3 linked regions of the Notamacropus eugenii genome follow. The protein of the gene in region 3 interacts with the protein of the main gene of each other region in a biochemical or structural test. Links are inferred from orthologs where the notes say so. Each region holds a gene or a part of one and is shown on either strand. Other genes may lie near its edges. The genes, in order: RHNO1, RAD9A and TOPBP1.

Evidence for each region.
Region 1: the proteins of TOPBP1 (region 3) and RHNO1 form a complex in vitro, tested with the Homo sapiens proteins (2 studies listed by BioGRID). The link is inferred for Notamacropus eugenii from reciprocal best matches to the Homo sapiens genes TOPBP1 and RHNO1.
Region 2: the proteins of TOPBP1 (region 3) and RAD9A form a complex in vitro, tested with the Homo sapiens proteins (4 studies listed by BioGRID). The link is inferred for Notamacropus eugenii from reciprocal best matches to the Homo sapiens genes TOPBP1 and RAD9A.

The regions. Positions count from the first base shown.
Region 1 is NC_092874.1:202,999,525-203,003,267, forward strand, and holds the start of RHNO1 (RAD9, HUS1, RAD1-interacting nuclear orphan protein 1), read right to left. Parts: upstream 2,548-3,743; 5' UTR 2,335-2,547; coding exon of another isoform or gene 2,278-2,334; intron 2,234-2,277; exon of another isoform or gene 2,147-2,233; intron 2,008-2,146; 5' UTR 1,921-2,007; coding exon 1,753-1,920; intron 1-1,752. UniProt on the Homo sapiens protein: Involved in microhomology-mediated end-joining (MMEJ) DNA repair by promoting recruitment of polymerase theta (POLQ) to DNA damage sites during mitosis.
Region 2 is NC_092873.1:19,857,267-19,861,009, forward strand, and holds RAD9A (cell cycle checkpoint control protein RAD9A), read left to right. Parts: upstream 1-982; 5' UTR 983-1,104; coding exon 1,105-1,138; intron 1,139-1,215; coding exon 1,216-1,286; intron 1,287-1,378; coding exon 1,379-1,510; intron 1,511-1,597; coding exon 1,598-1,712; intron 1,713-1,801; coding exon 1,802-1,901; intron 1,902-2,042; coding exon 2,043-2,152; intron 2,153-2,235; coding exon 2,236-2,342; intron 2,343-2,494; coding exon 2,495-2,559; intron 2,560-2,655; coding exon 2,656-2,772; intron 2,773-2,976; coding exon 2,977-3,166; intron 3,167-3,288; coding exon 3,289-3,384; 3' UTR 3,385-3,630; downstream 3,631-3,743. UniProt on the Homo sapiens protein: Component of the 9-1-1 cell-cycle checkpoint response complex that plays a major role in DNA repair. The 9-1-1 complex is recruited to DNA lesion upon damage by the RAD17-replication factor C (RFC) clamp loader complex.
Region 3 is NC_092874.1:41,878,870-41,882,612, forward strand, and holds the start of TOPBP1 (DNA topoisomerase 2-binding protein 1), read right to left. Parts: upstream 2,256-3,743; 5' UTR 2,043-2,255; intron 1,766-2,042; 5' UTR 1,760-1,765; coding exon 1,676-1,759; intron 1,402-1,675; coding exon 1,267-1,401; intron 1,025-1,266; coding exon 881-1,024; intron 90-880; coding exon 1-89. UniProt on the Homo sapiens protein: Scaffold protein that acts as a key protein-protein adapter in DNA replication and DNA repair. Composed of multiple BRCT domains, which specifically recognize and bind phosphorylated proteins, bringing proteins together into functional combinations.

The sequences.
Region 1 (3,743 bases), about 160 Mb from region 3:
CAAACAGAAGCTGTCAGCCCAGAACCACAAACATTGCTGGAAATTACTTCATCTCCATTCAAGAAGCCACAGATATAATGCTCAAGTTTTCTAAAATGAGAGCCTATCCACATTAAAATGAGCTCATTTTCTACAGGCATGAGCACCAGACTTGGAATCAGGAGCTTTGGGTTTGAAACCTGCTATGAAGTTATAGGATTTTTATGAGAAAAACACTATATAAAACTTTGTGAGTTATTTTTATTAGGTATCTACCCTATTCCTGGAGTATGGATTATTGCTTTTCCAACAACTTCTAACAAGTCATTTTTTAAAGCACTCTTTAAGCAGAAGCTGAAGTCCAAAATTGGCCCCTGCTCTTAACTTCTACTTCTTTCTCACAACATAATCCAAAACTCTTTCAGCTGGAGTCTTCAGAATGTTAAAACTTTCCAGTGTGTGGTGTTACTTTATAGCAGGCTATTAGATAGTAAACAATGTATCTAAAGAAGAACATACAGTATCTGGGACCAAAGAAAAATACATTTCTCTTCTCTATATCATGCCGCTACTTTTATCATCAGACCCTGCATTTTTAAGAATGCTCAGAATCTTGTTTCTGTCCTTGTCACTCTCCTACTCAGTAAACTCTATCTAGCAAGTCCCTATGGCCCCTAAGATAAAATATTAACTTTACCTTTTAAAGCCATTCACAACCTGAACCCAAACTATCTTTCCAGCCTCAGTGAACACTCCCCCTCCCACAGTCCAGTCAAAACTGACCTTTCCTCTGTTCCTCACACAAGACAATCTCCTATCTCTATGCTTTTCCATGGCTGCCCCCATGCCTTGAATGTAATTCCTCTTCATATCTGTTCTCTTAGAATCTCTCTTCTTTTAAGACACAGCCCAAGCACCACCTTGTACATGTACAAATCCCCCTACTAATGCTAATGCCCTCCCTACTAAACTACTAGTCTTTAACTACTTTGTATTCTACATATCCATACATGTGAATGCATATGTATGTTTAGAAAGATATGAACACATATATGTATGTACATATTGTCTTATCTTTTGGAATATAAACAACTTCTCAAATAGGAATTGTTCAATTAATTGTATTTGTATCCCCTGTGCCTGTCACTTAATAAAAGCTATTAACAAATGCCTGCTGATTGACTGAATCAGTGGTTGGGAGAGAGAAAAGGAAAAAGGTGGGTTCAAGTGTTCCTGAAGGTATTATTGGCTAATTGGTGTAGGTAAGGTCTTGATTTATCAGGCCAGCCACTAAAGGTCAACAGTAACAAGGGAACACCAAAGCAAAAGCACATTATTACTGAATCTTCAGACTACTCTTTAGTCTTTTGGGGGGGGGGGGAGGGGGATGAATGAACGGTAGGGAGGGAAGGATGAGACCTTCCAGCAAGAAAATGAACACAATGTCCCAAAATTCCCCACTGTAGTCACTGCTCTTTAAAAAGAATAGCAGGGCAAAGTAAAGCCAGTCTAAATGTCAACAATTCTCCCTCTGATTGGCTATTTCCTGATCAGCCCCCAGTTATCTAGCTCTTCTCTCAGCAACTGCCCATTTTTACAACTTAGGGGAAGAGCAGTTGGTTGAGGAGTTATGGTTTAGGAATTAGGGCCTCTTGCTCCTGTGTACCACTAAGTGGGTGAGTGACCTTCCTCCTGATGTGGGTCAAAGACAGTACCCACAATATGAGTCACCTCGTACCCAAAGCACCCAGTGTAAGAACTCGCTGGTCCTACCCAAGAGGTGATGGTCTGGTGATCTACTGGTTTGACCCGAGCATGCCTTGGGAGGGCTGCGGCTGGCTGTGGGGATCCATAGGGATGCATGGGACCCTCCAGAGGCCCCTCTCGGAATGCCAGTTGTGGTTTCCGGGACTGACTTTTGGGTTTCTTCCTGGGAGGCATCAACAGTCGAGGAGGGAAGGACCGTGAGTAGCCTCATGTTGCCTGGGGAAATACGTCGGGGAGATGAGCAAGGATCCTCACCCATGCCTAGAGATCAGACAACAAAACAAGCAGACAGAGAAAACCGATCACTGCCCGGGGCAGCAAAGCCCACCACGCTGGGCCAGACTAATCATCGCTCTCAGCGGGAAAGGGAGGCTGCTATTTACGTCCCAGAACCACCAACCTGAAAATGCAGGAGGGACTCAAGGCAACAGCATAGATTAGGCGCCTACTATGTACCAGGCTCAGCGCTGCAGGAAAAGGGAGGTGCTGCTCTGAGAAGGGGTGGGGGTGGGAGGCAGTGGGGTCACTTACACTGGGTGAGTGCAAGTCCTCCAAGGAAGAAAGCACCTGGAACAAAAGCTCGAGCATGAGAAAGGGGGTTCCGGGGGAGCGGACTCCTGGCGCCGCCTCCCCGCGTCCCTGCCCCCTCAGCCAGCCCCGGAAGTCCGCCCGACCCACTCTCAGCTGCCCGGCTCAGCTGTATCCGGCCCCTTCCCTCGTCCTCCCCCTCCCTCACTCGGGAGGCTCCGGCCCCTCTGCCCCCAGGCCCCGGCCCCTTGACAGGCCGGGCAGAGTTCCGGCCCCGAATGCTTAAACGACGCTCGGTCCCGATTGGCGGCGCCCGCGTCACGTGACCGGCAACGCTCCGCCGGCGCCAATTTCAAACCGCGGAACAAACTGAAAGCCCCTTATCCCCCTCCTCCCCCTCCCCCCCTCCCGGCGACCCCACCCCTCCCCCCCGCGGCCGGGGACCTGGCCGACCCGGCCCCTAGCGGCCCTGGGCCTGCTCCTGGACCCTGGCTCAGCCCCGGCGGGCTGAGGCTGAAGGGAAACCCGACCCCTGCAGGCCTACCTTGGGGCGGTGGTGGAGACAGCGGCCGCAGTGCTGAGGTGAGAGTCTCGGGTGGCGGGGGTCCCCAGCCTGCCTCCCTCCCCGGGAGGGCCCTAGAGAGCCCGGGCGGGGTGGGAGCCCCGGACCGGGAAAGGAGCAGGTCTCCGCAGCCGTCCTCCTTAAAATGGGCCCCCTCCAATGCCCAGCTCCTGGGCCGACGCGGGGAGCCCCGGAGAGAGGGTCGCGGGCCGGAGCTTGGATCCCAGCTCCGCAGCGACCGCCGGGCCCCGACCTCGGAGTCTTGATCAGGGAGTGAGTGACCCGCAGGAGGGAGTCCTCGAGGTGCCGCGGCTGCAGACGGTGCGGCCGGACCTGACAGCACCTCGGGACGGGCCACCGGGGCCCCCTCCACTGCGGGCCGGATCACGGCCCGGCCGCATAATGCCGGTGCAGCCCCAGCCTCCTGCGGAATTCAGCAGCAGGTTGGGCCCAGGGACCCAATCTGTAACCCCAGGAATCTCTCGACCCCCCTTGCTGGCGGTGTCGTGCCCTCCTCTGTTCAGTGTGGGGTAGTGAAAGGCTTTTTGCAAAGGACCTTGGATGGTGAAACCACTCAGCGTTTTGTTTAATGTTTATTATGCACCTTAGACCCTGTATTATCATTACTGGTAAATGTGCATTATTAAATTTGACATTCCTTGAAGGTGAGAGCTAAATTGTGTTTCCTCTGTTATGTATCCCCTTTAATGTTTTAACCCTGGGCCGTGTAGGTGCAGTCAAATACATAACTGAGCTAGTGTTAGGAGTGGGAGAGAGCAGGAAGACTTGCTTTTGGGAAAGGATATACTGAAAAAAAGGAAGCAGGATTTGAAGGTTTTGGGGGGAGGGGATGGCAGTAAAGGGTCAAACTTAAGAGAGATGGAGACAAGATAAAATTGCAGGAACT
Region 2 (3,743 bases), on a different chromosome or scaffold from region 3:
GCAGTACTGGTTGCCTCGGGCTTTCTCTGCATGCCTCGGCACCAGACCTGGCTAATGGGTCCTCAGGAGTGCTTATAGACCCAACTCGACTCGACCCGGAGGATCGCTGCTCTGGATGGTGCCCCTACTCTAAGTACCTGTTGGTCCTTCCCTGGCTGTTCCGCTTCGCCTAAGGTGAGCAGGCGGCTGAATGGGATTCTCTGGATCCCGGCTCCGCTCCTGCTCCGCCGGGGCCATCCCACCCCTGGGCTGCAGAGCTTGACTGGACAAACTCAGCCAAGGAGCCCCCTGCGGTGTCTTCTCTCCCCAGCCCCCTCCCTGCACCGGGGCCGCCGCCCCGCCCCCCCGGGAGTGCGAGTGCCCCTTGCTGGAGACACAGAGAGGTGTCCATCAAGGTCCCCTGCTGTGCGCACAGGCACTCTTGGCAAGAACAAACAAGCGGCCTTCCCCGAGGGGCGATCGCCCTGCGTGCACTCGCTCGCTCTTTGCACAAGTGTTCATTTATGGAGCACCTACTGCACGCAGGCACTGGGCTGGGGCGGGGTGGGCTGGGCCGCCCCCGCCCCCCGCCCCCCGCAAAGGAGAACGATCTACAACGAGCAAGGATAACGTTTTTGCGAAAAAGCGCTCAGAAAGGCAGGGAACTCCGATCGCAGCCTTTCCCAGGGCCCGGGCTGCGTCTCTTCCCACGTTACAGCCGCAGTTTCTGAAGCTGCACAGCGGGCACCGGCCTGGGGCTCCGGCCTTTGAGAGAGTAGGCATAGACCTCCAAAGGCAACGGAGGCGTCTGCGCACGCGCCTCCCGGGGCGGGGCTGTCCTCAGGCCACACCCCTCAAGCGGGAGGGGCCAGGGCGGTTTCGTCACGTGACACGAAGGGACCGGCCGAGGTCCTGTCACCTGGTGCAGGCCGCGGCACGGATAGGCTGGCTTTCCGCCCACGTGACGGAGGTGCCTTGCGTCGGTCACTCTAGGTCCAATGAGAGGGCGAGGCGGGCCGGGGCCGGCACCCGGGCCCAGCGCGCGGGAAGGAAGCCGAGCCTGGGTGCTGGGACCGGCCGGCCCGAGAGCGGGTGGCGGGGGAAGGCCGGGCCGGACCGGGAGACATGAAGTGCCTCGTGACGGGAGGAAATGTGCGGGGTGAGTGTGGGGCGAGGGCCGGGGCCAGGGGTCGGAGGTCACGGCCTGTGCCCTCTGACCTCCCTCCCCTAACGCAGTGCTGGGTAAGGCCGCGCACTCGCTGTCGCGCATCGGAGACGAGCTGTACATGGAGCCGCTGGAGGACGGGGTGAGGCGGCGCCGGCCAAGCGGCGGGGTGGGGGTGGGCTGGGCGCGCTGGCCTCCGCCCTCTGACCTCCGCCCCCTGATCTCCGCCCCCAGCTGTCGCTGCGCACGGTGAACGCGTCGCGCTCGGCCTTCGCGTGCTTCCTCTTCGCCCCGCTCTTCTTCCAGCACTACCAGGCGGCCCGGCCCCCGCAGGCGCAGCCACCGCGCTGCAAGGTCCTCATGAAGGTGGGGGCGCGGGGCGGGCCGGGAGGACGGGGCGGGGGCAGGGCGCGCCTGCTGCCGCGCTGATGGCCGCGCCATGCCCCCCGCCAGTCCTTCCTGTCCGTGTTCCGCTCGCTGGCGGCGCTGGAGAAGACAGTGGAGCGCTGCTGCATCGCCCTGAGCCCCGAGAGCAGCCGCCTGGTCATCCAGCTGCACTGCAAGCACGGTGGGGGCGGGGCCGGCAGGGGCGGGGCCGGGGGGGGGGGCGCCGTGTCCCCGCCCCACTCACCTCGGTGCGTGCCTGCGCCCCCCCAGGTGTGACCAAGACCCACAACCTGTCCTTCCAGGAGTGTGAGTCCCTCCAGGCCATCTTCGACCCCGCCAGGTGTCCACATGTGCTGCGCGCCCCCGCCCGGTGAGCTGGGGACATGCGTGGTCGCTCACGGGCACAGACCCCCCACCCCAGAATGGAGGACCTCCCCCATTAGTACACCGGGCGGGCTGGGCAGGGTCCTTGGGCTGTGCTGAGTGGCCTCGCCCCTCGTGCTCTGGGCAGGGTGTTGGTGGAGGCCGTGGCGCCCTTCTCCCCGGCGCTCTCGGAGGTGACGCTGGGCGTGAGCCGGGGCCGCAGGGTTGTCTTCCGGAGCTACCTGGAGGAGGACACAGGTGAGGGGGGACCTGGGGGGGAGGGATGGGGGTCCTCCAGGGGCTGGAGGGGGGTTGGGATAGAGGCCCGCTTCCTCCCCCAGATGCCGCCAAGGCCATGATGACCGAGATGAGCCTCAGTGAGGACGAATTCCAGCAGCTGCAGGCACAGGAGGGAGCGTCCATCACCTTCTGCCTCAAGGAGTTCCGGGTGAGGCGGCTCTCCCCTGTGCTGTGACCCCAGCCTGATCGGCCCTGCCCTAGCACCAGCCCTGCCCTAGCCCCGCTCTGCCCAGCCCTGCACCAGCTCTGCCCTAGCCAGGCTCTGCCCAGCCCCACTGACATCCGGATCTGCTCTTTCAGGGTCTCCTGAGTTTTGCGGAGTCTGCCAACCTGCCCCTCAACATCCACTTTGATCTTCCTGGAAGGTATAAGATGGGCAGGAAGTGGGACCTGCTCTGGGGTCTCTGCCCCCTCCCACTCTTGCCAAGTGGCCAAGAGTGGTTCTTGTCCCTCCCCACCAGGCCGGCCATCTTCATCATTGAGGATTCGCTGCTGGACGGTCACTTTGTCCTGGCTACCCTCTCTGAGCCTGACCTCTGCCCTCAGGAACCTTGTCCACCCCAGGAGGGGGCTCACAGGTGAGGGGGCGCTCCACAGCATTCTTTTCCCCCCTCCTCTTGCCCTTCTGGTCCAGCTCCTCTCCCCCACCTTCCCCAAGACCTCCTACCTCCAGGTCTTGCCCTCCTCCTAAGTTCAGTTAAGGCTTGGTGACATTGTGGGTGGGGTGCCTTTCAGCCTGCCCCCTCTTCTGCTGGAAAACTGGCCACACACCCTGTCCCCAGCTCTGGGCCTTTCTCCCTTAGCACGACACACCTGGATGACTTTGCTAACGATGACATTGACTCTTACATGATCGCTATGGAGACTACTGTGTGTGATGGGGCACTGGTGGCCCCCCGGACCCCTTCCCCTGTGTCAGAGGAAGAGGAGGCAGAGCCCAATGTGGTGCCTGGAACCCCTCCCCTGAAAAAGGTGAACAAATGGTCCCTTGTCTGCTCCCTGTGGGGTGTGGGGAGATGGTGCGTTCTGCCCTGGGTTTGTGGGCTGGCTTGGTGGCGGCCTGTACTCAGTGCTGCTTTTCTCTCTGCTTCTAGTTCCGTTCCTTGTTCTTTGGTTCAGTGTTGGCCCCAACAGAACCTCCCTCTGAGCCCAACCCGGTACTAGCAGAAGACAGTGAGGGAGAGGGCTGATTGGCTCTCAGGGACAGCAGCAGCTGGGCCACCTCACATTCTCAGGAGCAGCGTCTGGCGAGTCTGCTCCTCTGCCTGCTTTGTGTCAGAAAAGACTTGAACTGTGCTTGAGGAGGATGGGGGTCTCTATGGAGATGGAAGAACCTGGTCACTTCCACCCTGGGCCCGAAGCGGACGCTGGCTCTGCTTCTGCTCTGGCCACCACAGCCAACCCCTCCTTCCTCAATAAAGATTCCCAATCCTGAAGCAGACATGCGTCATTCTGGACAAAAGGCAGGCTAATAGGCCAGTGAGAATCCAGCTTTGACATTTATTCAAAAAAGACCAGATAAGGGCACAGAGCAGCTGAGCCCAGATGG
Region 3 (3,743 bases):
ACTTCACCAGCAATAAGATGAGTTACTGATATACTTAAGTCTCTGCAAACTCGTCCGCCCATCATTTGTACATATTTATGAACTTCTTTCTGGAGTGAAAAAGGAAGAGGTAAGAAATATGTTAATCTATAATCATTGTTACCCGTTTTCTAAAGCATTCACTACATTATGTCCACAACAAATTCATATTCATTTAATCACTACAGCTGTGCTATGTTTATGATTTATTTATATATGAATATATAAATGCACAATGATGCAACAATTAAGATGAACAATTTACAAAGAAATACGAAGATCTTCAAATGGTTAATGGCTCTACTGAAAGACACTAAAAGCACAATTCACTAAGTTGTTTTTTTTTTCATTTAAAACCCTAACGCTAACCAACTTTATAGAGAGCACTTAGAACAACATAACAAGGAGAGAAACAATGTTCTGGAATGAGGACTCATAGTCATTTTGTTACAGTGACTGGGACAAGACCAGGGCATCTATGATCTGAAGAAGGATGAAGCAGGTATCAGAAATTATGGAGCATGAAACTGCAGTCCTGTGGCTAGAGCAGCTGAGGTTACAAATTGTCTGCATGATATTAATATGTAGGGCTTTGGTTATATTGCATTTATAACATTATTATGAAACATCATTGGTTAGGATGACTTGTGCTAGGTACAACTCAATTTGAAGATCACCTCTTATACTGCTAGGTCCTAACCCTCTACTATATCTGTTAACTGTGTCACACAAAATAGCCAAAGGAAAACATCTGCTCTCATGTGAAATAAAATTCGAAACATTTCACAGTACAGCTTAACCAACAAAAAAAATTCATATAAAACATACATATCGATGTTATCATCCTACTAAAACATCTTACCCTTGTTTCTTTGTCAAGGCTTGTACAAGAAATAGTTACGTCTGCCATAATCATATTATAGACTGGATACTCTGCTTTTGGAACACATCGTTGGTGCTGCATACAAAATATGACTACTTGTGGGCCGACAATTCTACAGCCAAGCTACAGAACAGAAAACACAAGGTTTATGTTGTTTGAGTAGCGAAACAAAGACGATTTTCCTTCACTTGTCTTCCCTTCTGCCAACCACTTCACCAGCCTTCGTGCCTATTTCTCCAAGGCCAGTTCTTCCAGCAGCGTGAGCATCCATGCACTAGGACACACCGCAGATCTGTCATTCCCGGGGATCCCGCGGCCCTCCCGTTTCCTCGTGCATCACACCCAGACGCGGTCACTTAACGCACCTTTTTGAGGTGCTCGAACACGGCGCCGCTGAAGGGGTCGCAGATGTACAGCGATCGGTCCTTCTCCGTCACGCTCAAGGCCTCCTCCTCGGCCACGGTCTGGAGATACTCTTCCGACTGGAATTCCTTCATAGACTGTTTGAAAGGCGAAGCGAGAGCGCACGTCAATCATTCAGAGGAAGGCCCCAAGCAGGCCGCGCTGCGCTTCGGGAACGTTTCGGCAGCGGACCAGAAATGCTGCCCAGGAGCACGGAGCCGGGCCGAGCCGGGCCGGGCCGAGCCGGAGCCGAACCGGGCCGAGCCGGAGCCGGAGCCGGAGCCGGGGCCGGGGCCCGCGCCGCTCACAAACCCGCTTCTACGCGGCGGAGACGTTGGGGTCCGCCCGCCCCCCCACGGCCCATCCACTCACCCCAAGCGCGGTAAAGAAACCCTCCGAGTTCCCGGGCGCCTTCACAAACTTCACGTAGTACGGCTCTCGGTCACTTTCCGACATGTCGACCTAAGACCAGAAGGCGCCGTCAGCACGGGGCCGCGGGCCCGGAGGCCGAGCGGCAGCAGGCCCGAGGGCGGGCCCGGAGCTCCGGAGGGGAGGGGGCGGGGCCGCCCCGGCCCCCGACCCGCAGCGCGGGCCCCGCAGGCGCCTCAGGGCATTCGGCCTCGAACCCGGCTCGGCTGCCCGGCTGACAGGACCCCCCCCCTTCCCCCCCCCCCCGCCGCCGCGGCCCGGGGCGGCCACACAACGGTCGCCCCCAACGCCGCCCGTCGCCCTCACTCACCGCCCCGGGGCTCCGACGTTCTGAGGCGGCGGCGGCTGCAGTCCGGGGCGAGCGTCGGGAGTGAGGCGGCCGACGCGGCGTGAGGAAAGGCCGAGCGCGCGCCGGGGGCGGGAGGGGGGGAGGGGAGGGGGAGGGGGTCGAGCGGGCTCGGAGCCGCACCACCAAGTTTCGCGCCAACCCGAGGGCTTCCCCTTCCGCCACGGGGCGGAAGTGACGCCGCGGGGCCGTGCGGAAGGGGAGGAGACACTTCCTGTCGCGGCTGGATCTAGTTGTCCATCCGTAGCCTTCCGCACCGGGCGGAAGCGATGCGATTGACAGCTTCCGGGAAGGGGAAAGGATCCGGCCTTGGCCTCTTTCTTGGGTTCCTCTTCCACCTTGGGCTTCTACTCCGGACCCTGGCCTAGCCCGGAGTGTAGGAAGCAGCCATGGTAGTCACCGAGTCTGGAAGGGCCGCGGAGGGCTTTGCAGAGACGCCGTCCAGGGATCCGGAGCCACCCCCGGCGACTTTCCCCTCTGGGCCGCTCTCCCTGTGGACCAAAGACCGGGCCTGGAGCTCGGCCGGAGCAGAGGCGGCGCCTGCTTCCGGGAGCTCCTCCCTCCTGCCCTCGGGCCCCCGGACTCCCGGGCCCCCGCTAATAAGTGGAACCCGGAACCGTGCGCCCTAGGGGGCACCCGTTAATATGTGTGAGTAGGAGCTGAAGGGGTGCATACCTACTCGGAATCCAGCAGCATGTGGGGAGAGGCCTGGAAATGATAGGAAAGTACCCCAGAGCAGCAGCGTGCAGATGCAGGCCGTAAACCAGACTTGTGACGGGCCCGGCTCCGAGGGCCCTCCATGACTCTCCACGGCCAGGTGAAACTTCTTTAGACTTGCAGAGGTTCTAGTTGCATCCAAGAAAAAAGAAGCAGTTAGAATTTACAGATGCTGGAAAGGGAAAGAAAGATGTATCATTTCTAACTACGCAAGCTTTACACAGAGCTAGTGTAAGATATTTAACCAAAGATACTGTAAGAAGAGGAAGGAGGATTGTATGGCAAAAGATGACAAAAGGAGAGTGACTTCAATTCGAGTTGTAAATCATTCAGCAAGTACTGAGACTGGTTTGGAAGTTACAAGTAGCAACGATGATCTTAAAACTGAGCCAGAAAATCTTTTTATCTCTACCCAGTGAATTGTCTTGAATTAAATTATTCAGTCTCAGCTAATTCCATACTCTAAGAAAAACTCCAGCAGATTTTCCTTGTAAAATTAAACGGTCATGCTGGAGCCAGATAAAAAGAAAGCTGAAGATTTACAATGAAGGAAACCTACAGTAGAGTGGGGGGCCAGGACTTAAAATTTAAAGAGGTGTGCCCTGGGTTTTAGCTGAGTGGTACAGGGGATAGAGCACAGGACTTGGAATCAAGAAGATGAATTACAGCCTTGCCTGAGACATTGGGTTGCAAGTCACTTAACCTCTGTGTACCCAAATTTCCTCCTCTGTAAAAGGGGGAAGAAAACAAGAGGATCTACTTAACAAGGGTTGTTGTGGATCTGATGTAACTACATGTAACATATGTAAAGCACTATATGAATGCTATTATTATCAGTAATATAGTTGAGAGCAAGCTTTAGAGTATAGCTTGCCCACCACACTTCCTTGACAAAGATCTAAAATACTCACCACACCTGATTCTGATCAAGAAAGCAAAGAAAGTCAT